3 linked regions of the Ovis aries genome follow. The protein of the gene in region 1 interacts with the protein of each later gene in a pairwise test. Links are inferred from orthologs where the notes say so. Each region holds a gene or a part of one and is shown on either strand. Other genes may lie near its edges. The genes, in order: DCP1A, RITA1 and PNRC2.

The links.
Region 2: the proteins of DCP1A (region 1) and RITA1 interact in binary tests that used the Homo sapiens proteins (3 or more experiments, as listed by UniProt). The two-hybrid records come from large-scale screens. The link is inferred for Ovis aries from reciprocal best matches to the Homo sapiens genes DCP1A and RITA1.
Region 3: the proteins of DCP1A (region 1) and PNRC2 interact in binary tests that used the Homo sapiens proteins (3 or more experiments, as listed by UniProt). The link is inferred for Ovis aries from reciprocal best matches to the Homo sapiens genes DCP1A and PNRC2.

The regions. Positions count from the first base shown.
Region 1 is NC_056072.1:47,747,934-47,755,132, reverse strand, and holds the start of DCP1A (mRNA-decapping enzyme 1A), read right to left. Parts: upstream 4,630-7,199; 5' UTR 4,620-4,629; coding exon 4,485-4,619; intron 1,885-4,484; coding exon 1,844-1,884; intron 1-1,843. UniProt on the Homo sapiens protein: Necessary for the degradation of mRNAs, both in normal mRNA turnover and in nonsense-mediated mRNA decay. Removes the 7-methyl guanine cap structure from mRNA molecules, yielding a 5'-phosphorylated mRNA fragment and 7m-GDP.
Region 2 is NC_056070.1:61,267,583-61,274,727, forward strand, and holds the start of RITA1 (RBPJ-interacting and tubulin-associated protein 1), read left to right. Parts: upstream 1-2,716; 5' UTR 2,717-2,977; intron 2,978-3,150; exon of another isoform or gene 3,151-3,292; intron 3,293-3,940; 5' UTR 3,941-4,004; coding exon 4,005-4,306; intron 4,307-7,145. Other genes in the region: ATP-dependent RNA helicase DDX54, read right to left, coding at 2,245-2,418. UniProt on the Homo sapiens protein: Tubulin-binding protein that acts as a negative regulator of Notch signaling pathway.
Region 3 is NC_056055.1:242,692,060-242,699,531, reverse strand, and holds the start of PNRC2 (proline-rich nuclear receptor coactivator 2), read left to right. Parts: upstream 1-3,559; 5' UTR 3,560-3,729; intron 3,730-4,489; 5' UTR 4,490-4,695; intron 4,696-5,410; 5' UTR 5,411-5,428; coding exon 5,429-5,848; 3' UTR 5,849-7,472. UniProt on the Homo sapiens protein: Involved in nonsense-mediated mRNA decay (NMD) by acting as a bridge between the mRNA decapping complex and the NMD machinery. May act by targeting the NMD machinery to the P-body and recruiting the decapping machinery to aberrant mRNAs.

The sequences.
Region 1 (7,199 bases):
GCAAGCCTCTGTTCAAATGTCCCATTCTCACTGAGGCCTGCTACACAACTACCCTTTTCAATGCTACCAAGCTCAATACCTCTAACCCTTCTCTCTCTTTTTCCATATCACAATTTTTTGTATTTATCATCCTTCTCCACTAAACTCTACCATGCAAATAGGATTCTTGTTTTTTTCAGATAAGTACCAAGAGAGACATATAGTAGATATTTAGTGAATATATGCTCAATAAAAATATCGTTTATTTTAAATATGGTACAGGACTGGTTACAGTAATTATTGTCCACCATCACAATGATTTTGCTTGTATCAAATGGGAGAGCTATGGAAAGACTTGAGCAAGTAAGAAAATGTTTCGAATCCTACAAGAAACATCTTTGGTTCCCATGTCAGAGTGATCCAGCACACAATCCTTTAGGTACTTCTCATTTGTATATGAAGTATTTCTCTGTGTACATGGGAAAGGTTTTAGAATTCTATTATACAGATTAGGAAACAAGCTTAGGATGATTCAGGCCTGCACCCAAAGTCACACAAATAATAACCAGGATTCAGCTTTTAGGTTTTCTGATTCCAAATCCATGCTTCTTCTATGCTAAGGTCTCTCCAAAGGGACATTCTGACACCTGGTATATATTTATCCATTTCATCCATAACATGTTCTCACATTTCCCAAATAGAGTCTCTCTGGTCTCCTTTTATTGGAATCAATACAAGTGGAAGCTTCCAAAAATTTTATTAAATCAAGTCAGTCACTAAACTAAATTTCATTTTCTGTAATTGGTGAATCTACACTGTTACAATAAAGCCAGGAAAGTGCTTCCCAAGTACCAAGGTTCTAATAACAGTTGAAGAGCTTCTAGAGATTTATATTGGTAATGAATATTACCAGGTAAAAGATAAAGGTCTTTTTTTTTTAAAAAGGAGAAAGATGAGTAACAGGGAACAAAATGTCAACAAGAAAGAGTAACATAAAAGCACTTAAAAGGAAGAAAAAAATCAGTGTTTTTTAGACAAGATCTCAAAGGTACACAAGACAATTTAGAAGAATATTTGACAAATTCTTGTTACAATCCATAAATAATTTACCACACACACACACACACACACACACACACACACGAAAAGAACCAGGTATCAGTAATCCTGCTGAGTTTCCTAAGCTTTAAAAAACAAGAAAAGGCATCTATCTCAATCAGAGTGAGAGTTAAGAGGGATCCAGGAAAACAAGAAACTTCAATGACTAACATACCCTTGTCAATTGCCTTTAGGCCAAGAAAGTTGCCAAACAAAACCAAACCTGCAATTCACAAACCAATCATGTTTACGACAATTAATTCTCAGAAAAGTTGAAAGTTAAAAATGTGCAGTTATGAGTAGTCCAGGCTTTCTAAAGGACTCTCAAACTAAAAATACCTATTACTAGACACTGTACACAACTCAAAACTTTTGGGTAGCTGGAATGGGGAAAGAACCAGAGTCTTAGAAGATAACCTTTTAGTTCAGTAATCACAGAATAGTTAGCTCCTGTATTATATTTTTCTCAGTTACGTATCTGTTTTCCTAATATGGGGAAAAGGAAAAAGGCATCTGTTTTAGATTCATTCATTACTACAAAATGTTTTCTATTTTGCTAGGTTCCTAAATAAGTTCTGTTTGATTCTGAATCATAGGAACTATCAAAGAAGGGACATTACTTGGTTAAGATTTCACAGCAAGAGATGGATGAATACTTGGAAGGGTCAAGCAGGAAGTTCCAAAGACAATACAATAGGGCTGAATCACTCTACATGACAATGTTCACCATCAAATTAAAAAAATAATAAGTTTTTAAAAAGCTTACCTTCGATATACAAATAAGGTCCCTTCTATATCGGTCTTCTCCTGTAACAGACAATGAGTCAATTAGTTTTTTCCCCCATAATCTAACCCCAAGTTGTCCCAGTGGAGACGTCATGTTTAAGATTAACTTATTTATTTTAAAATTAATTACTCTGAACAGGTCAAGCTTCTCTCTACAAACTACTGTTACCAGTTTCTTTTGTATCCTTTTTAGTCTATTGATGCATGTTAATTGATATGCAATGTTCTATCCAGCAACATGCCTGTATCTACAGTAACTTTTCTTTTCTTTTTTAAAATTTAAAGGAGAAAAAAATCTAGAATTAGCTTTCATTTTTTAAAACTAAAATGTTTTAGCCAAATTTCTTAATTTTAAAGCCAAAGTCTGTATACAGTCATTACTTCACCTTTAAAGTTTATCAAAGTTAGTAGGAGAAAAAAAAGAAATTTTATCTTACAGGACACTGTTTCATCATTTGGGAGATTCCGGCATATTTTCCTGAGTAGCAAATTTTGTAGTTAGTTAAGAACTACTGTCAAACACAATTAGTTTGTTACTCTTAGACCTTTGTTGAAGAATCATGAGTACTGAAATTCTACTTAGTATAATTTGTATAGGTCTTACAAATAATTTAAAACTTTTTTTTCGCTTAAAGTAAACGTTTTGATTAAAAAAGTACAACTCATCATCTTTCATTTGCTGTGACAAGAGTGTATTTAGGTTTTAAACCGTTAAAATGTTTTGTTTTTTTTTTTAAATTAGTCTACAATTCACAGGCCAGATAGGATCTAAACAGTTTAATGCAGTCAGCAAACTATTAACAAACTTAAATGTTAGTCATATAGAATTGAATTTGGTGGGATGAAAAAAAGAACTTTAAAAGATATTTACCATCTTGATTTCTAACTTAAACATTATCATGGAATTTTTCCTTATGTATTTCTTGCCTTTCAAACTTTATTAATATAATAAATTGGTAATCAATTGCTTCACAATGAAAGAAAATTTACCCAAATAAACAACTGTGTAAAGTTACAAATCACTGCCATGATACAAATGAATAACGGCAGCTTAGTTTTCAATTCAGGTTATTTCAGCTTGTATTTCATTCAGCTTGTATTTAAAGAAGAATGGCACAATTAAAATTCCAAAATATTGGAAGTCTGTGACAAACTAGAAATAAAAGCTTATAGTAATAAGCCCATGCCCCAAATATTCACCATTTGTCTGCAATCCACACTCCAAAAATGTATATGCACAGCAAGAAAAGAAAAATGGTCCAAAACAATTTAAACTAAAGCAATATCTACTAAAACAGTCACACTTAAAAGAAAAAATCTATAATTTTGTTCTGTGTGGCTTGCCATACCTCCTCCTATTCCAGGAGGTGAAGGAAAGACGATACAAAGTAAAGCAAGATGACTCTGAAAACCCTCTGCATCTGATTTAACTGTTTATAAATGCGAAATGATTTTTCACAAAATTAATGATTAAATATAACCCATGTATCTGCATTATGTTGTAAAGAATATATTATGATAATAATCTTTGTTTTGTTAGTACAAGGACTTCAATTCTTATTGAAACGTGAATGTGAATCATTTATTAATTCAATCCAACAAACATTTACAGACTATTTTTAAAATAAAGCCTATATAGCTAAATGAGTTAATCAAGAAGATTCATATTTTTAAGGGAAATGATGTTACGTTTATTTATATTTTATTTAGCCACTTGCGTGGCTTGTTAGATCTTAGTTCTCCGACTAAGGATCGAACTCTTGCCCCCTGCAGTTGAAGCGGGGAGTTCTAACCACTGGATCGCCAGGGAAGTCTCGAAATTCTGACATGTAAACAACAACCGAAGCTTCAAAGCGGCTAACAAATCAGTGAACTAACTGAATGTAACTTTTCGCAACCTCTCTCGTGCAAAAAAAGGCAAAAAGTACTTAAGTCTGATGCGCGTATTCAGAGGTGACATCACCAGCAGCATAGCTGAAAACACGAGGTCTCTTGTCCAAAGGTTTCAAGGTAACAAAATTAACATGCAAGCCCTTTTCCTAAGTGCCTTGAAATCTTTTCCAAACTCTGGAAACACAGTGTAGTTTGATAAATGCGGGACGTATCCCCACCCTCTCGCCTTTCCAAGAACTGAAACTAATTGGAATTCAAGCTTTAAATCCTAATAACCTCTGCGAAGGGGGTTCTGATTTATCTATCTGTTGGGGGGAGAGGAGTGTTTACTTTATAGATTATGTATACATAATTTATCTAACAACTCTCAAAGCTTCAGACAATCTTACAGGCGTCTTTCTGACTCCATCGGTCTCAAATCCTCCAACACACCTGCAAAGAAGGCAGGTCGCCCACATCCTCGAACTGGACCCCTGGGGACTAATCCTTCTTCAACCCTCCCCTCTATCAGCGTTCCCCCCGGATGTTTGGACCTACTTCCCTCTCTCCTCTCACCCAATCCCCAGCGGCGCCGACACCTCTCAGGCGCCGGCCAGGCTCTCCTCCAGTCCCTGGCCTCGCCTCCGCCACCGTGGCCTCCCGCATCGCCCCCTACCCAGGTCGGTCGGCGCGGCCCCTTTAAGAGACGGCGGCCGGGAGAGCGACTTCAGCCACCTGGCTGCACTCACCCACTGGTTGGCCTTGGGGCAGAAGGTGTACAGTGCGACCTGGCCCGTGAGGTCTGCGATGCTGGTGATGTAGGGGTCGTGTTGCTTCAGGGCTGCTAGGCTCATCTCTTGCCCAGCTCGACTCAGCGACTCCATCTTGAATTCTGGAGCCGAGCCCCTCTGGCGGGGCGGAGTCGAGGACAGGAAGGTGCCATGGAGGCAAAGTTCCCCCAGCTGCGTCAGCGCCCTCAATTTCCGCCTCTCCACCGGGCCTCGCGGCCGGGCGGTACTGCAGCTATTATGCTCCGCTGAACCTACGCCCGGGGCACCGGGTTCCGGTGTCGTCAGGTCCCAGTGGACTAAGGTTCGAGGTGGGGTCCGCCGCCGCGTGGCGGAGCAGAAAGGCCTGGGCGCAGGTTCTTCTTTTCCGCGGGCTGAAAGGTACCGGCGCTCTGAACAAGGCTGCTCTGGAGCTTTCTCACCGTTCCTGCCGGATTAGTTTCCCGTGGCCGCAGACTGGAAACCTAGCTGCGTCAAGGCAGGGCTCCAGGGGCGATTTAGAAAACAGAAAAGCGGGGAGAAACGGGGTGGGGGTGGGGTACCTCGGAAAGTACCCCAGATCTCAGATCTATTTGTGTTTTTATAAAGGAAGTTTTTGAAAAAGCCAGACTAGCCTGTCTGTAATTACACAGAAATGTCTTTTATTGTCAACTTATTTTCTTCCTCTGAATCCCACGAAAATCTTTATCCAGTTTTGGAAAGAACCCTTGAAAAGTTGTTTGCCGTGCATCATTTAAAGCTTTAAAACGGTAACTCATCCTTTTAGCAAACATCTGCTTAATATTTTAAGGCATTTTAAAAGAGCCAGTTACTAGCTAAAGAGTAAAACAAGGTGTGGAAGATAAAGGGAGCTCTGCCCCTTCCCCCGCCCCTCCCCCGATTTGTTATAAAAAACCTTTTCTTATACTGAAAAGATAACCGAGAGGTGTCTGTGGCGGCCCAGTGGTTGACTCCACCCTTCCAGTGCACGGGGTGCAGGTTGAATTTTTTTTGACTGAAAAATACTATTGACTCTAATAGTTGTATTGTTTATGATTTTACATCCCGAGGTCGTTATCGGAAAGATACTTAATGTTTTACATTGTTGGCAGAATCACGTTACATGTACAAATGCAGAAAAGGAAACATATTCATTTACTGTTTCTTTAGCAAGTATTTTTGTTAGTAGCTCAGCCGTATCTGACTCTTTGTAATCCCATGGACTATAGCCCACCAGGCTGGTCTGTCCATTGCATTCTCCAGGCAAGAATACTGGAGTGGATTGCCATTCCCTTCTCCATCAGTTCAGTTCAGTCGCTCAGTCGTGTACAATTCTGTGCCCATGAACAGAAGCACGCCAGGCCTTCGTGTCCATCACCAGCTTCGAGAGTTTACCCAAACTCATGTCCATTGAGTCCGTGATGCCATCCAACCATCTCATCCTCTGTCCTCCCCTTCTCCTCCTGCCCTCAGTCTTTTCTAGCATCAGGGTCTTTTCAAATGAGTCAGCTCTTTGCAACAGGTGGCCAAAGTGTTGGAGTTTCAGCTTCAACATCAGTCCTTCCAATGAACACTCAGGAATGATCTCCCCCAGGATAGACTGGTTGGATCTCCTTGCAGTCCAAGGGACTCTCAAGAGACTTCTCATTTCAAAAGTATCAATTCTTCGGCACTCAGCTTTCTCTATAGTTCAACTCTCACATTGATACATGACTACTGGAAAACTAAACAGACCTTTGTTGACAAAGTAATGTCTCTGCTTTTTAATATGCTGTCTAGTTTGGTCATAACTTTCCCTCTAAGGAGTAAGCATCTTTTAATTTCATGGCTGCAATCACCATCTACAGTGATTTTGGAGCCCAGAAACATAAAGTCAGCCACTGTTTCCCCATCTATTTGCAATGAAATGATGGGACCAGATGCTATGATCTTAGTTTTCTGAATGTTGAGCTTTAAGCCAACTTTTTCCCCTCTCCTCTTTCACTTTCATCAAGAGGCTTCTTAGTTCTTCACTTTCTGCCGTAAGGGTGGTATCATCTGCATATCTGAGGTTATTGATGTCTCCCGGCAATCTTGATTCCAGCTTGTGATTCCTCCAGCCCAGCGTTTTTCTTGATGTACTCTGCATAGAAGTTAAATAAGCAGGGTGACAATATACAGCCTTGACATACTCCTTTTTCTATTTGGAACCAGTCTGTTGTTCCATGTCCAGTTCTAACTGTTGCTTCCTGACCTGCATACTGATTTCTTAAGAGGGAAGTCAGGTTGCCCTTCTCCATAGCAAATATTTATTGACCTCCTGCTTTGAACAGGTATCCGCTTAGGATGCAAAGAACTGACTCATTGGAAAAGACCCTGATCCTGGGAAAGATTGAAGGCAGGAGGAGAAGGGGATGAGATGAGAGGATGAGATGGTTGGATGGCATCACCAACTCCATGAACATGAGTTTAAGTAATCTCTAGGGAGTTGGTGATGGTCAAGGAAGCCTGGGGTGCTTCAGTCCATGTGGTTGCAAAGAGTCAGACACAACTGAGTGACTGAACTGCACTGAGTCCCTTGGGAAGCTTCAAAGTCTAAGACAATTTTCTGGTTCTGGGAGAAACTGAAAGAAGTAGGGGCAACGCTAGAGATGTCTCACTTGACACCTAGGGGATGGAGCCAGGAACTTCATCTGTCAAAAGAGTATTGGAAGGCTT
Region 2 (7,145 bases), on another chromosome or scaffold:
AGGAGGCTGTCCTGCTGCCAGGCCCCTCCAACTTGCCCTCATTCAAGGTGCTGATGCTCCTGTGAGATCACGTGACTTCTCTGCTAAAGGGCTCTCCTTTGACTGGACGAAGACAGGGCAGCGGGTCTGAGAGTAGGCTCTGCAGACAGACTGCCTGTGTTTCAGTCTCATCTCTGTCACTTGCAGCTGTGAGACCTCAGGCCTGGGACTTCCTCGCCCACAGCCTGTGTTCCCCAATCACGAAAACGGGGATGAAAAGAGCATATGCCTTACAGGGTGCTGGGAAGACCAAATGGGTATGTGTAAATCTTAGGACAGTGCCCAGATGGTGGCACCACCATCATTATCATCCAGACCAGTTATTCAGAGCCCTCAAAACTTTGGGAAGCCAATCGAAACATCTATTATGAATGAGGTACCAGACTTTTCCAGTCTGTCTTGCACCCGTCTCCCTCAGCCCCTTTCTGATCCATCACCCCTCCCCAGATCTGGTCTCTCTCATTCCTGGCTTCCTCTCTCTGCCACCCACTTGTTCTAGCACAATTAAAGCATACCCGGACACCTCCTCTGGGGAGCCTTCTTGGACTACAGCACTGTCTTCTTCCTCTCAGAAATAACATTTATAAAAATACTAACTCATAATAATGGCTAAAACTTATATGGCACTTACTATAAGCCAGGTGCTGTGCTGAGCGTTCATGTAAATTAATTCACTCCTCACAACAACACTGTCAAGCAGCTATTATTATTTAGCCTCTTTTACAGAGAAGGAAACTGACACACAGAGAGGTGAAGTGACCTGGCAAAGTCACACAGCCAGTAAGGGATATGAACCCTGGCCTCAGAGTCTATATTCCTTCCTATGTGCCCCTCTGCGGTCCAACACAACCCTCTAGGTCAGAGCTGCACCTGTCTTGTACAGTCCCCGAGATGAGAATGGTTTTTAAATCTTAAAAGATTGTAGCAAAATCAAAGAAGACAGTTGTATGACCTTATATGACCCTGCAAAGCCTAAACTAGTTACCATTTGGTCCTTTACAGGGAAAGTTTGCCAACCTACCCCTGCTCCAGACACATGATAACAAAGTGCCTTTTAACACACTGGTGCCCCAGCAACATTTACTGACGAGCAGAATGTCTGAACACTGTCATTCCTCCTTTCCACAGTGTTTGAGGCATACAGACTCAACTACTTTCTGCATGTGCAGAAGCTGAGGCACACACAGAGAGATTAAGCAATTTCTCCCATGTGTACTCCCCCACAGCCAGTACAAGGTGTTGAACACATGGCTGTGCCTTGGTCCCTAGTTATAGAGAACCTTCTGTGTGAGGCTCGGTTGAGATGGAATAAGGTCCCCATCTGGTCCCTACTTCTGAGGAGCAGAGAGGGCTCTCTTCATATAAACCCCCACTCATTCATCTATTATACCCAGAGTCTTCTCTGTGCCAGACACCCGCTAAGCACAAGGTTGTGAGAAACAACAGGCTATAGCTCTTTTGCTCCACTGGGGCTCACACCTGTTCCCCCTCCCCCCGCCCCCCCCCCATTTGCATACACTCAGCACTCAGTAGTGGAAATAGCACAGGGTCTGGAACCATACAGTCCTGGATTTGAATCCTGGCTCTCCCACTCACAAGCTATGAGGTTTTGGTAAAGTTCCTTCACCCCTCCAGGCTTCTGTTTCCTTCTCTGGAAAATGAGGATAAGCACTCAGCTCGCAGGGTTGATGTGGTGATTAAATGATAAGGCTTATAAAGGCTTTTAGCACGGAGCCTGCACACAGTAAGTGATCAATAGACGCGAGTTTAACTTATTATTAGTTTCCCAGAGGTTTGGGGGCGTCGCTGTCTCAAAGCCACGAGGTGCAGCCTTCTCCTAATTTGTCTGCCGAAGAACCCCCAAACTCTCAAAAGTCCAATGTTCAGCACCCGCACTTTTCATTGGGCGAATGGAAACCAGGACCCGCCCTCGATGGCCAGGAAGAAGCCAATGAGAAGCGCTAGACCAAGCGTCAGCCAGGAAGGCCCGCAGGCCCCGAGCTTACCCAACACAGAGGCTTCGGGAGTCTAGACCCCAGGTGTGGAGGGTCCTGGGACACGTGCTCAGGCCGGAGGTCCTGCCTTGATCCCCCGGCCAGCCGATCTCTCCCCATCCTCAGCCGTGCCCGCTCCCCAGCTGGGGGAACTGCCGGGCACCGCGCGGAGCTCGGGTTCCGACGTGTATCCCAGCCCTGCGCTCCCTACCTTCTGGGCCCGGGCGTCATCTTCTGCCTGGATCTCAAACTCGCCGTCCTCCGAGTCGCTGCTGCGGGACTGGGACGCCGCACCCCGGCGCTTCCGGAGCCCCTTCTTCTTCTTCCACTGGGCCATGGTAGCTCCGGACCGCGGGGCGGCCGCCGGGCGCGTGCCGGCAGCCATGCGGGCCCCGGCGCCGGGAAATGGGAGGGGGCGGAGCCCATAGGGACATACCAACAGCGCGGCGGGGGCACGGGGGACGCCTCCACGCGGCCCCGGCTGCGTTCCTGCTCCTTCTGCTGCCTCCAGGGGCTTGATCCACATGCACACACACACACTCCCCTCGCTGGCGCGGAAGGTACCCCTTCCGAAGCTTTGGGGAACTCCGGGGGGCGTCCGGAATCGGGGGCCTTAACTCACCCCCGAGGAGTAAATGGTTCCGGCCGCCCCGCCCCATCCTGTCACTCACGGGTTGCTGTTTGACGCGCGTCCGCGCGCGCGGAACACACGTCGCTAGGGCCCGGCTGCCAGCTCTGAGTCGTTCCGCCCCGTACCCCGGTCTGGGGTTGGAGCTGGGGGCGGCCTTGGAACTTCCCGGAGTCGCGGGCTCCCGGGATTCAGAGCTGCCGATTCGGATGTCCGGCGCGCGCCTCCGATGCCCGAGCGCCCCACAAAGGAGTCCAGGCCTGGGAGCAGGGGACGCTGACGGTAACGACCGACGTCAGCGAACCAAGATGCTCAGGTAGGAAAATAACTCGATAATGCGGGCACATCGGACATCTCCGGGACGTGGACTTGGGGATCAGTGAATGAGGGGCAGCTGGAGGACTGGGTGTGATCCCCTAGTAGGGGAATGGTTAAGTGCAGGAGCTTTAGACCCTTAATCAGGTTCAAATTCAATTTCCACTGTTTTAGCTTTATAGGTGTGACTGACACTTGCAACTTCACCTTTTGAAGCCTTAGTTTTGTCATCTATAGAATGAACATAATGGAAGCTACCTCACAGGAGTGTTGAGAGGATGAAATGAGACAATGCTTGTAAAGCTCTTTGCAGGAGGTAGGCTTGGGATCGATCAATGCTGGTTATTATTTCTGCCCGATAAATATGTACAAGATATAGAAACCTGCCCTGTTTCCCCCATTCCTCATCAGCATAGTTGATTTTCTGTGTGGTGCCAGAATAGGCAGAGGCCCAAATCTCTTGTTCATTCCCCTAGTGTTCTATAAATATTGACTGAACACACACCAGTATGCTAGGAATGCGCATTTACTCATTAAATATTCATCTGTAGCACCCCTGTCCCCGTGATTTCTGTGTGCTCACTCACTCAGTCGTGCCTAACTCTGCGAATCCATGGACTGTAGCCCGCCAGGTTCCTCTGTCCATGGGGATTCTCCAGGCAAAAATACTGGAGTGGGTTGCCATGTCCTCCTCCAGGGGATCTTCCCAACTCAGGGATCAAACCCAGGTCTCCCACATTGCAGGTGGATTCTTTACCATCTGAGCCACCAGGGACGCCCACCCCTTCATTACAACAACTCAAAAAATGTCAAATTTCTGAAATGTTCCCTGGGATTGGCAGCTCCCCTTTGAGGAAGACTGGTTGAGGGAGAATGTGACCTTTTTGCCCTGGGGATGGGCCCTTAAAGTGATTGCCAGTCTTTTCTGATGACAGATGGTTGCTACCCTGACCCCTTTTCACAGGGAGCCCTGGATGTAGGGCCTGGCAAGCAGAGCACCCCTGCTGTCACTCAGGACAACAGAGAGCATGAAGACCCCGGTGGAGATGGCCATCAGCGGGATGCAGACCCTCCACGTTCAGCACCGTGGCCGGAGTGGCTACCGGGTCAAGGTTAGGCCATCATACGTGGATGAGACTTTGTTTGGCAGCCCTGCAGGCACCCGGCCCGCACCACCAGACTTTGACCCACCGTGGATGAAGAAGGCCAACAGACCCAGAGGAGTGGGGACAGGGGTGTCTCAGGCCTTGGGGGCCAATGGGAGCTGTGAGTCCACCTCCTCCAGTGGCAGCACCCCAACCCTCACACCAAGGAAGAAGAACAAATACAGGTAATAGGATAGGAAGATTCCCTGCCATTCATCTGCTGTGTGACCTTGGGCGAGCAATTTGACCTCTCTGAGCCCGTTTCCTCACAGTGGAAGGTGGGACCCAGTGGGATTATTGAGAAGACTTAAGGGGATGAGACATGTACAGTGGTTGGCACAGTTACCCGACACTCAGGAATAAATAAATGGTAATGGCATTAGACTGGACTTCTGAGGCCCAGAGGGGTGAGGTGATTTGTCCAACAGAGAGAGAGAGTGTTGGTCGCTCAGTTGTGTCCAACTCTTTGCTACCCCATATACTGTAGCCTGCCAGGCTTCTCTGTCTGTGGAGTTTTCCAGGCAGGAATAGTGGAATGGGTTGCCATTTCCTTCTCCAGGGGATCTTTCCAAACCAGGTATTGAACCTGGCTCTGCTGTACTGCAGGAGGATTCTTTACCTTCTGAGCCACCAGGGAAGCCCTTGATTTATCCAAAGTCACAGAACAGTTTGCATAAGATTATTAGTGTGGTTGATCCATCAAATGACATAGATATGGTGATTCCAAACTGAAGCAAGTCATTTTGAAAATGGTTCTTGCTTCATTTTCACCAACAAGTTAGAAAAATGGAATCTAATGCCAGTGGTTATTTTTGTAGGGATTATTTAGACTATTTCAATGAATTTCAGCCTCGAGGGAGGCCACAGGACTCTATCTTATTGATTGTCATCAGTGTCTTGAACAGAGATATGGAAGACTAATATATTAGTCAATCAGGTTTGTTATATATAACAAAATACTATAGACTTAAACAGCATAAGTTTGATTTTCCACAGTTATGGAGGCTTAAAGTCCAAGGTCAAGATGCCAGCAGGGTTGGTTTCTCCTGAAGCCTGTCCTTGGGTTGCAGATGGCCAGCTATTCCCTGGGTCCTCACATGGACTTTTCTCTGAGTGTGTACACTCTTGGTGCCTCTTCCTCTTCTTATAAGGACACAAATCCTATTGGATTAGAGCCTCACCTTTGTGGCCTCGCTTGTGTGTGTGTTAGTCATTCAGTCGTGTCCAGCTCTTTGCGACCCCATGGACTGTAGCCTGCCCGGCTCCTCTGTCCATGGAATTCTCCAGGCAAGAGGACTGGAGTGGGTTGCTATTCCCTCCTCCAGGGGATCTTCCTGACCCAGGGATCAAACCCAAGTCTCCTGCATTGCAGGCAGATTCTTTACCACTGAGTCACCAGGGAAGCCCATGGCCTCATTTAACCTTAATTTAATTCAACACAAATCTTGGGAGGAAGCAATTCAGTCCTTAATAACTAGCCAGTCCTATTTGGGATCTATTCTGAGCCAAAAGGCACATCACTAATTGAGAGTGGGAATAGTGCCTATTTAAGGAGATAAAATTGAACAGAGATAAAAGCAAGGCCCCATTATTGTCATGTCTACTTGACAGTTCCCATGGAGCACAGGGCAGGCTCAGGTTGACATAGCAGCACTGACATCTACAACGTGGCTGAAAGTGCTGAGTTCACTGTAGGCTGCATTAACAGAAGTCCATGACAGGAAGGCAACAGTCAACCTCATGCTCTCCTGGAGGTTGGAACTTTGTGCTGGATGCTGACAGGTAGAGGCTGTCAAGTTAGAAGGTACATAAGAGGTAGAGATGCTATTAAGCAGAAACTTTGGAACCAGACAGACGTAGGTATCAACCAGATCTGGGTTTGAACAGCCAAATCAAGTGGCCAAAATGTTGACTTTTCAAAGACTTGAAGTTTGGGAATGGGGAGCACTTTTAGTTCTGGCTGAAAGTCATGGACCTCACACCTCATAGATATGCCATGAACATTTGTGAGATTAATTTAAAAAAAAATGCTGAATGAATCTAGTTAAAAGTGAGAGGCCTTGAAGGCATTTAAGTCTGGCTTAGTGATCAGGAACTTGAGCCCTTGAGTGGGGGCCTGGATTTGAATCTTATCTATACCTTCCTTGTTATCCTCCCTGTGCCTCTGTTTTCTTGTCTATAAAATGGGATTATCATATTGCCGTCCTGTGGGTTTTGTGAGAAATAATGAGATAACACAGGTGACAAGCTGAGTCCTGGGCCTATACATGAAAAACCCTGAGTAAATATTCAAAAATTTTAAAAGCTACTCTGGTGGTATGGCCAGGTCACAGCACCCTCTACATGCCGGGTTCTTGGCTGTGCAGTTTCAGAAACAGTTAGAAGGGCCACATGACTGCAGACGGTTCGGCTGACAGGGCCACTAGGAAAAGGGTGAAGTGGTGAGTTAAAAGAAAAAGTGAACGCTCTGAAGACTAAGGTTATATTAATGTTGGTTGCAAATAACATAAGGATTGGGCTTGCAAACAAGCTAAACGCGCCTCAGCAGACAAAGGACATTTGGGGCTCATATAACAGGGGCTCAAAATGTTGTTGGGATTCTTTCTCACACACATTCCAGGTGAGATGGCCACCAGCTCTTTTGCCCTTATATCCTTCCTGCCTGTTCTTCAGCACTCAGTGGAAGAAAGACATCTCTCTCCTAGTAGTTAACGCAAAGATTCTAAGGGAGACTCCCATTGGGCAGAATGGGTCATGTGGTTAGTCCTGAGCCAATCAGTGTGGTCAGGAGGATGGGGTATGCAAATTGAGCTGGACTAGGCCAATTGGGCACATGCCCAGGATGGGGTGGGGAGGATGCAGGAGGACTGGATGCTCTGCCAGGGAAAAATAGTAAGAGCTGGGAATAGTGGTACTTGAGGGCTGTGGCTTCCCTGTGGGTACTTCTGGGATCTACAGGCAATCATCTGCTGCTGTAGGGGCTTAGCTGGGGGTGGGGGGCGGAGGGGTAAGAAAGTTTACAAG
Region 3 (7,472 bases), on another chromosome or scaffold:
AGCAGTGATAGATTTTATTTTCTTTGGCTCCAAAATCACTGTGGATGGTGACTGTCATGAAGTTAAAAGACACTTGCTCCTCGGTAGAAAAGCTATGACAAACCTAGACAGCATATTAAAAAGCAGAGACAACACATTGCTGACAAAGGTCTGTATAGTCAAAGCTATGGTTTTTCCAGTAGTCATATATGGATGTGAGAGTTGGACCATAAAGAAAGCTGGGAGTGCTGAAGAATTGATGCTTTTGAACTGTGGTGTTGGAGAAGACTCTTGAGAGTCCCTTGGACAGCAAGGAGGTCAAACCAGTCAATCCTAAAGGAAATCAGCCCTGAGTATTCATTTGAAGGACTGATGCTGGAGCTGAAACTCCAATACTTTGGCCACCTGATGTGAAGAACTGACTCATTGGAAAAGACCCTGATGCTGGGAAAGATTGAAGGCAAAAAGAGAAGAGGACAACAGAGGATAAGATGGTTAGATAGCATCATGGACTGAATGGACTTGAATTTGAGAAAACTCCAGGAGATAGTAAAGGACAGGGAAACCTGTCCATGGGGAGGTTGGGGTCCTGCATGGGCTGCAGTCCATGGGGTCACAAAGAGTTGGACACAACTGAGCGATTGAATAACAACAATATTGGATGTCCTGAAGAGAATGTGTTTTCAACTCCTGCTTCCAGTTCTGGGCTGTTGTGAGTACTTGGTAAATTATTAATGAAGGATGAGGCTGGAGCTGTACTGTGAGACTCCTGGGAGCCTGGGACATGGAGTAGGCTTTAACAGTGCTCTTTGGAGGGCCCTGGGGAGGACACAGAGGTGAGTCAGACACAGATGCTGCAGGGAACATGGAGTGGGCTTTGGAGCCGTAGTTTGTGTCTTTCAGCTTTAAACTGTTCTAAGCCTCAGATTCTTTATCTGTACAGTGGAGATCAAAGAAGGGGATCTTCTCAACCCAGGGATTGAACTCAGGTCTCCCGCATTGCAGGTGGATTCTTTACCAGCTGAGCTATCAGGGAAGCCCAAAATATCACCTACTCTATATTAATGTTTTGTCAACAAAACAGCTTAGCACAGGGCAGAGGGAGGCAGAATAGTATCCAATACATCATGTGTGTGTACACAAGCATCAAACACATTCAGTAGAGTTCAGTTGCTCAGTCACGTCTGACTCTGTGACCCCATTGACTGCAGCATGCTAGGCTTCCCTCTCCATCACCAACTCCCGGAGCTTGCTCAGACTCATGTCCATCAAGTCAGTGATGCTATCCAACCATCTCAGCCTCTGTCATCCCTCTCTTCCTGCCTTCAATCTTTCCCAGCATCAGAGTCTTTTCCATTGAGTCAGTTCTTCGAATCAGGTGGCCAAAGTATTGGCGTTTTAGCTTCAGCATCAGTCCTTCCAGTGAATATTCAGGACTGATTTCCTTTAGGATTGACTGGTTTGATCTCCTTGCTGTCCAAGGGACTCTCAAGAGTCTTCTCCAACACCATAGTTCAAAAGCATCAGTTCTTCGGCAATTCAGCTTTCTTTATAGTCGAACTCTCACATCCATACATGACTACTGGAAAAACCATAGCTTTGACTAGATGGACCTTTGTTGGCAAGGTAATGTCTCTGCTTTTTAATATGCTGTCTAAGTTGGTCATAGCTTTTCTTCTAAGCAGCAAGCTTCTTTTAAATTTCAGGGCTGCAGTCACCATCTGCATGATTTTGGAACCCCCCCAAATAAAGTCTCTCGAATACATTACAGGTGTGTTTATACAGATAAGGTCTGGAGGCTGATTTAATTTTATATTACAACTTGGGGCCAATACAGGTTTGTTTTTTTTTTTTAAGTAACACAATCAGATCCATGAGGGCAGAATGGAGGGAGAAGTAGGATTGTAGCAGGGATGAATTTAAAAGATATTTGGATGGTGATAATACAAAAAGAATTAGAAAAAGAAAGTGCTCAGACTAAAACAAGACTGTTCATTTTACAAAAAGTGTAAGTCACTCAGTCCTCTTTGGGACCCCATGGACTGTATAGTCCATGGACTTCTCCAGGCCAGAATCCTGGAGTGGGTAGCCTATTCCTTCTCCAGCAGTCCTTCCCAACCCAGGGATTGAATCCAGGTCTTCCGCATTGCAGGCAGATTCTTTACAAACTGAACCCCCAGGGAAGCCCAAACCACTATATTAAAAAAAATATTGCAATGGTCTTTTTAAAATACTGCTTAGCTGTAATCTAGCCGCATGTCTAAGTCAGTTTCTTAAGTTTTTAGGTAACAGATTACACTTTCAGTGAGGTAGCAGTTCCTTATTATATACATCTTATTTGACTATAATGCTTAGCAGCTGAAAGTCCCACGCTCAGAAATATCTCTTCTACTCTACACATTTCACCAAATTAATTTGATTAACAAACTCTTTTAAAATGGTTTTCTTAAGAAACTTAAGGTCCATGGGTAGAACAACATAGGAGTGGGGGATGATGGTAGCAGAAAAACTCAAGATTAAAAAACGAATTATGTGGGACTTACACAAAGTACACGTAAATCTTGTAACAAAAATGTTAATATGTTTGTAGAAACTGGTGTTCTCCTTTACAACGCCAGCTTTGGGTTGCTTATCCATTTACTCCAAAGAAGCTGCCCTTCTTCTCTTCCTGGCGCCTTGGTGGCACAATCAACCCCCTTTCACTTACAGACGGAGCCGAAAGGGGGAAATGAGAGAGCTCCATTTTCTCAAACTTTTCTCGGGCACTTAGCATGTGCACTTAGCCTGTGCTCTGGGCTCAAACGAGTGACTGGGTGGACAAGTAGCTACACTACAGTGTGACTCAAGTTCAGGACAAAAGAGGAACTGATTAACTCGATCCGCACAAGTGTCGGAAACGTCTTCACAGAGGAGACCACTTCTCAAGAATTTCGAGGCTGCGGGCAGGGAGGACAGGAGGGAACCACAAGCTGGGGGAGGGGCAAAGCAATTTCCTTGACAGGGGAACACAGTGTCAGGACCAAGTGGCCAAGGGTCGGCCTCGGGAAGCAACTTGGTGGAGCATCTTGCATCGTAAGAGACTGGTTACACGGCTAGGTGAACTTAACTCGGGAACTCAAAGCCCCCTTCGGTGACGCCCCACGGCAGGGAACCATCGGGTTCCAAGGGCCGCGGGACCCGCGAACCGGGCAGCCCCGGTGTAAGCCGCGATCCGGGGGAGCCGCTCACGTCCCTTCCCCGGCGCCGGACGCGCGCGCGGCTCGGAGTCGCCGTGAGGGGTTGGCGCTGACTGCGTCCTTGGGTACCGAGCCTGGCCGGGCGGGCGCCTCCCGGGAGAGGACAGTGTCACCCGGGCGCCCGCAGAGGGCCGGCCACCGGGACCGCGGCGGTTATTCCCGACATGCTCCTCTCGGGGAGGATTTCAAACCTTCGGCCACAGCCAACTCCCCTCCCTCGGCCCCGTCGGGCCCCAGCAACAGGCGGTGGCCCGCGTATCATTGGCCGGGTCGCGCGAAAGCGTGTTTTGATTGGCCGCAGCGCCTCCCGGCCCCGCTTCAGCGCTCGCCGCCGCCTCCATTTTGTCGGTAGAGACAGGAGGAGGAGGTCGGTTGAGACGTTGAGGTGGCCAGCCGCTCGCTCGTCGGTGCTCGTGGGCTTCGCCCGTTCCGTGCCTCGTCTCTCCCTGGAAGGGGAGGGGGGCTTCGAAGCCGAGCAGAAGCCGCCGCCGCCGCAGTCCCGGGCTTGAAGTCGGTGAGTGGCGGCGGCGCGACGGGTGCGGCCATGTTGGCGGCGGCGCTCCCTATTGTTGGGGGAAGGAGGCGAGATCCGAGGCTGGGGGGGCGCGGGCGGCCCGGAGGAGCGGGTTCCCGGGCCGGGCTCGAGGGACGCGGAGCGCCTGGGAAGCCCAACCTCGTTGCGGAAGACCCGAACTTTCCGGGCTCGCTTTGGGAATGACTCAGGGTCTGGAAACTTAAATTTCTTTAGGGCGTTGAAACAGTCTGGAAGGGCCTCTCACCCTTTCGATAAGAGCTTCTTGCTTGGTAACTTGGCTTCTTGGACTATCAAGTGGAATCGCAGATGTTTAATGTTTATAATAGTGATTGTTTTATGTATTTAAGATGGGAAACTGCTTGTTATGGCTTGTGAAACTTATTTTAAAACGGGGAGGAGTCAAGAGTTCATAACCAAAGGAAGCGCTGCGTGACGTAAACATGTTGGGAGAGGAGGCTCTGCTAAAACAGATACGTGATGTGTCTAAAGATTGTAAAATTCTGGTGGGACTTTAAAACACGGTCTTTAGGAAACAAATTTCTTAGCACATTTCTTAGCATGACTGTAGAGGCTAACGTTTCCATGGTTTTACAACATTTTGGTCACTAAATCCATGTGAGACATTATTTTCTGCCTTTTTGTTAAGTAGCCATTCTTTAAATTTTTTCTGGAGTAAATATAAACGATCACTTTCTCTGTTTTTTTAATTGAAATAATGAAGAAATCGTTGCTTTTGTAGCTAAGACTTCTCTCAAACTTGTGTGCTGAGGAGACTCAGATGTTGGCCTCAGCTCCTAGGCTGAACTCAGCAGATCGGCCCATGAAAACTTCTGTATTGAGACAAAGGAAAGGATCTGTCAGAAAGCAACATCTATTATCCTGGGCGTGGCAGCAAGGAAGAGGACAGGTAGTGGAAATCCTGCAATCGGAAAAGCAGACTGAAAGGTATTAAAAACTTACGGTTGTAATGGGGCAGACATTTTATGATGGACTCATTCTAAACCAGGATCTTCCCTGGTGGCTCAGACGGTAAAGCGTCTGCCTACAATGCTGGAGACCTGGGTTCAATCCCTAGGTCGGGAAGGTCTCCTGGAGAAGGAAATGGCAACCCATTCCAGTATTCTAGCCTGGAAAATCCCATGGACGGAGCAACCTGGTTAGGCTACAGTCCATGGGGTCACAAAGAGTCAGACACGACTGAGCGACTTCACTCACTCATTCTAAACTAGAGCTTCCCAGGGGACTCCATGATAAAGAATCCACCCGCCAATGCAGGAGGCCCGGGTTAGATCCCTGGGTCAGGAAGATCGCCTGGTGGAGGGAATGGAAACCCACTCCAGTGTTCTTTGCTGGAGAATTCCATGGACCGACAAGCCTGGCAGGCTTTTCCCATGGGATTGGAAAAGGTCGGATATGACTGAGCATGCACACGGGCACATCCTAAACAAATTGTTTTTAAATGCAGTATTATTTAGATTTGTTGGTAGACTCATTTTTTTCTTAGGAAGGTAATAAAGGCTGTACAAGTGTGAACGTATAGTAAAGCTAAAGCAGCTGAATAGCACATACGTGAGTCTTCTTCGAGATATTTGGAGTTGCAAATTGGGGCCACTGAAGTTTTGTACTGGAATTTCACTCAGTATTTTGTTTCCACTCACAGGTGACAAAGAAGCTGAAGATGGGTGGTGGAGAGAGGTATAACATTCCAGCCCCTCAAACTAGAAATGTTAGTAAGAACCAACAACAGCTTAGTAGACAGAAGACCAAGGATCAGAATTCCCAGATGAAGATTGTTCACAAGAAAAAGGAAAGAGGACATACTTATAATTCGTCATCAGCTGCATGGCAGGCCATGCAAAATGGGGGGAAGAACAAAAATTTTCCAAACAATCAAAACTGGAACTCTAGCTTATCAAGTCCCACCTTACTTTTTAAGTCTCAAACTAATCAGAACTATGCCGGGGCCAAGTTTAGTGAGCCACCATCACCAAGTGTTCTTCCTAAACCACCAAGCCACTGGGTTCCTGTCTCCTTTAATCCTTCTGATAAAGAAATAATGACATTTCAACTTAAAACCTTACTTAAAGTACAGGTATAAAATGAGATAAAGTACTAACATTTAAGCTTAGTCATATTTAAGGATAACTGGCAATTGTTTCAGACCAAATTCACTAGGGAATTAATCTGTAAAACTGATTAACATAGAAAATATAATTAGACTTCATCTTGTTTTATGTGCACTGTGATGGTAGGAATCAGTACAGTTTAAAATAACTGAATTATGGATAATTGTATTTGATCTCTTCACTAGTATTCTCAATTGAGTAACCATATAAGTGAAACCATTCAAGTTTAGATTTGGGGAATGGTAAAGGAATCAACTTTTTATATTGCTTGTTGGGGGAAAATACTGGAGATTATCATTTCATGGGTCAGCAGATTGACTTATTAAGATATGGTAAATCTGATTATAATCATCCAGTTAAAGACATACAGGGGTTGAAAACTATTTGAATCTTTGAGACGTTATTGTCCTAGAGACACCTGAATCAGTACACCTAAACCAGTAGTATGACAACCTGATGCACTGCCTAAAGAAAATGTGAAAAAAAATTTTTTTAAGAGAATAGTATTTTAATGAACTGTATGGTGGTGAATGTGTAAAGGGCACTAGGGGCTATTTAGAATGAAACAAGTATACCCCATTGGCCCTGTTATGTGCAGTGGATAGTGTCTGCCAACAAATGCACCAAAACCATTTTTTTAGAAACAGTATTTGGTGTTCAGAGTAGCTTTCAAAATACATTTTTGTATGATGGCACTGCACAAGCTATTCTGACAGTGTTATGGCTTTAAATCATCCCTGCAAAGGTTTTTTAAAGTTGAGAGCTGTATAATGTGAAAGTTCTGCATACCTAGGAAAGAGCCATGTAAATATATGTAGTAAAATTGTAGCATATGTAAAGTTTTGTTGGCATTTATCCTACAAAAATAGAATATTTTAGTACGAATTTGCTGAATGTAAGACATGGACTCTTATACTATGGCCTAATTTTAAAGGTCAAAAAACACCCCACAAACAAACCTGTTTTTAAATTTTGCCCTTGTGCTTAAGTGCCAGTGTATGTATATTATAATTGATCTTGCTGTAAACTATATTTCAACGTAAATCCTAGTGTAAGAAGTTTTATATAACCGAAAAGGTTTTAAGCTGCTAAAACACTTGCTATTTTTGAGATGTGAAATGCAGTATGGGGTAATTTTTTTTCCTTAAACCCAAAGATTAACTATTAAGCAGTCCCTCCAACCTTAAAGATTCCTTTTGGCTTTCAACAACTTGTGTAACCTATGAGTATAGTGTACAATGTCAGTGTATTTTTTTTTCCTTGTCAACAGGTGCAACCCAGGGGACCAACTTATTGCAAAAGATGTAATTTCTTGCATAATACCTTGATAACATGTTTTGCTTACTTTAAACATGCTAATTAAAACAGCCAACCCAGTAGTAAAAGTAAAGTGTGTGTATTAGGGGGGGGGTTATTCTAATTTGGCAGCTTTTTTAATACTTTTAAGCAGAATCGCTAAATTGTTTCTCCGAATAAATTGAGGTGAGATAGTACTGTCCAAGTCAAATGATGATATCCTAAAAACAAGTTTTATATAGTACTTAATGTACATACATGAATTCGAAGCATGAAATTAAAAAATAAAGTTGTTTCTTC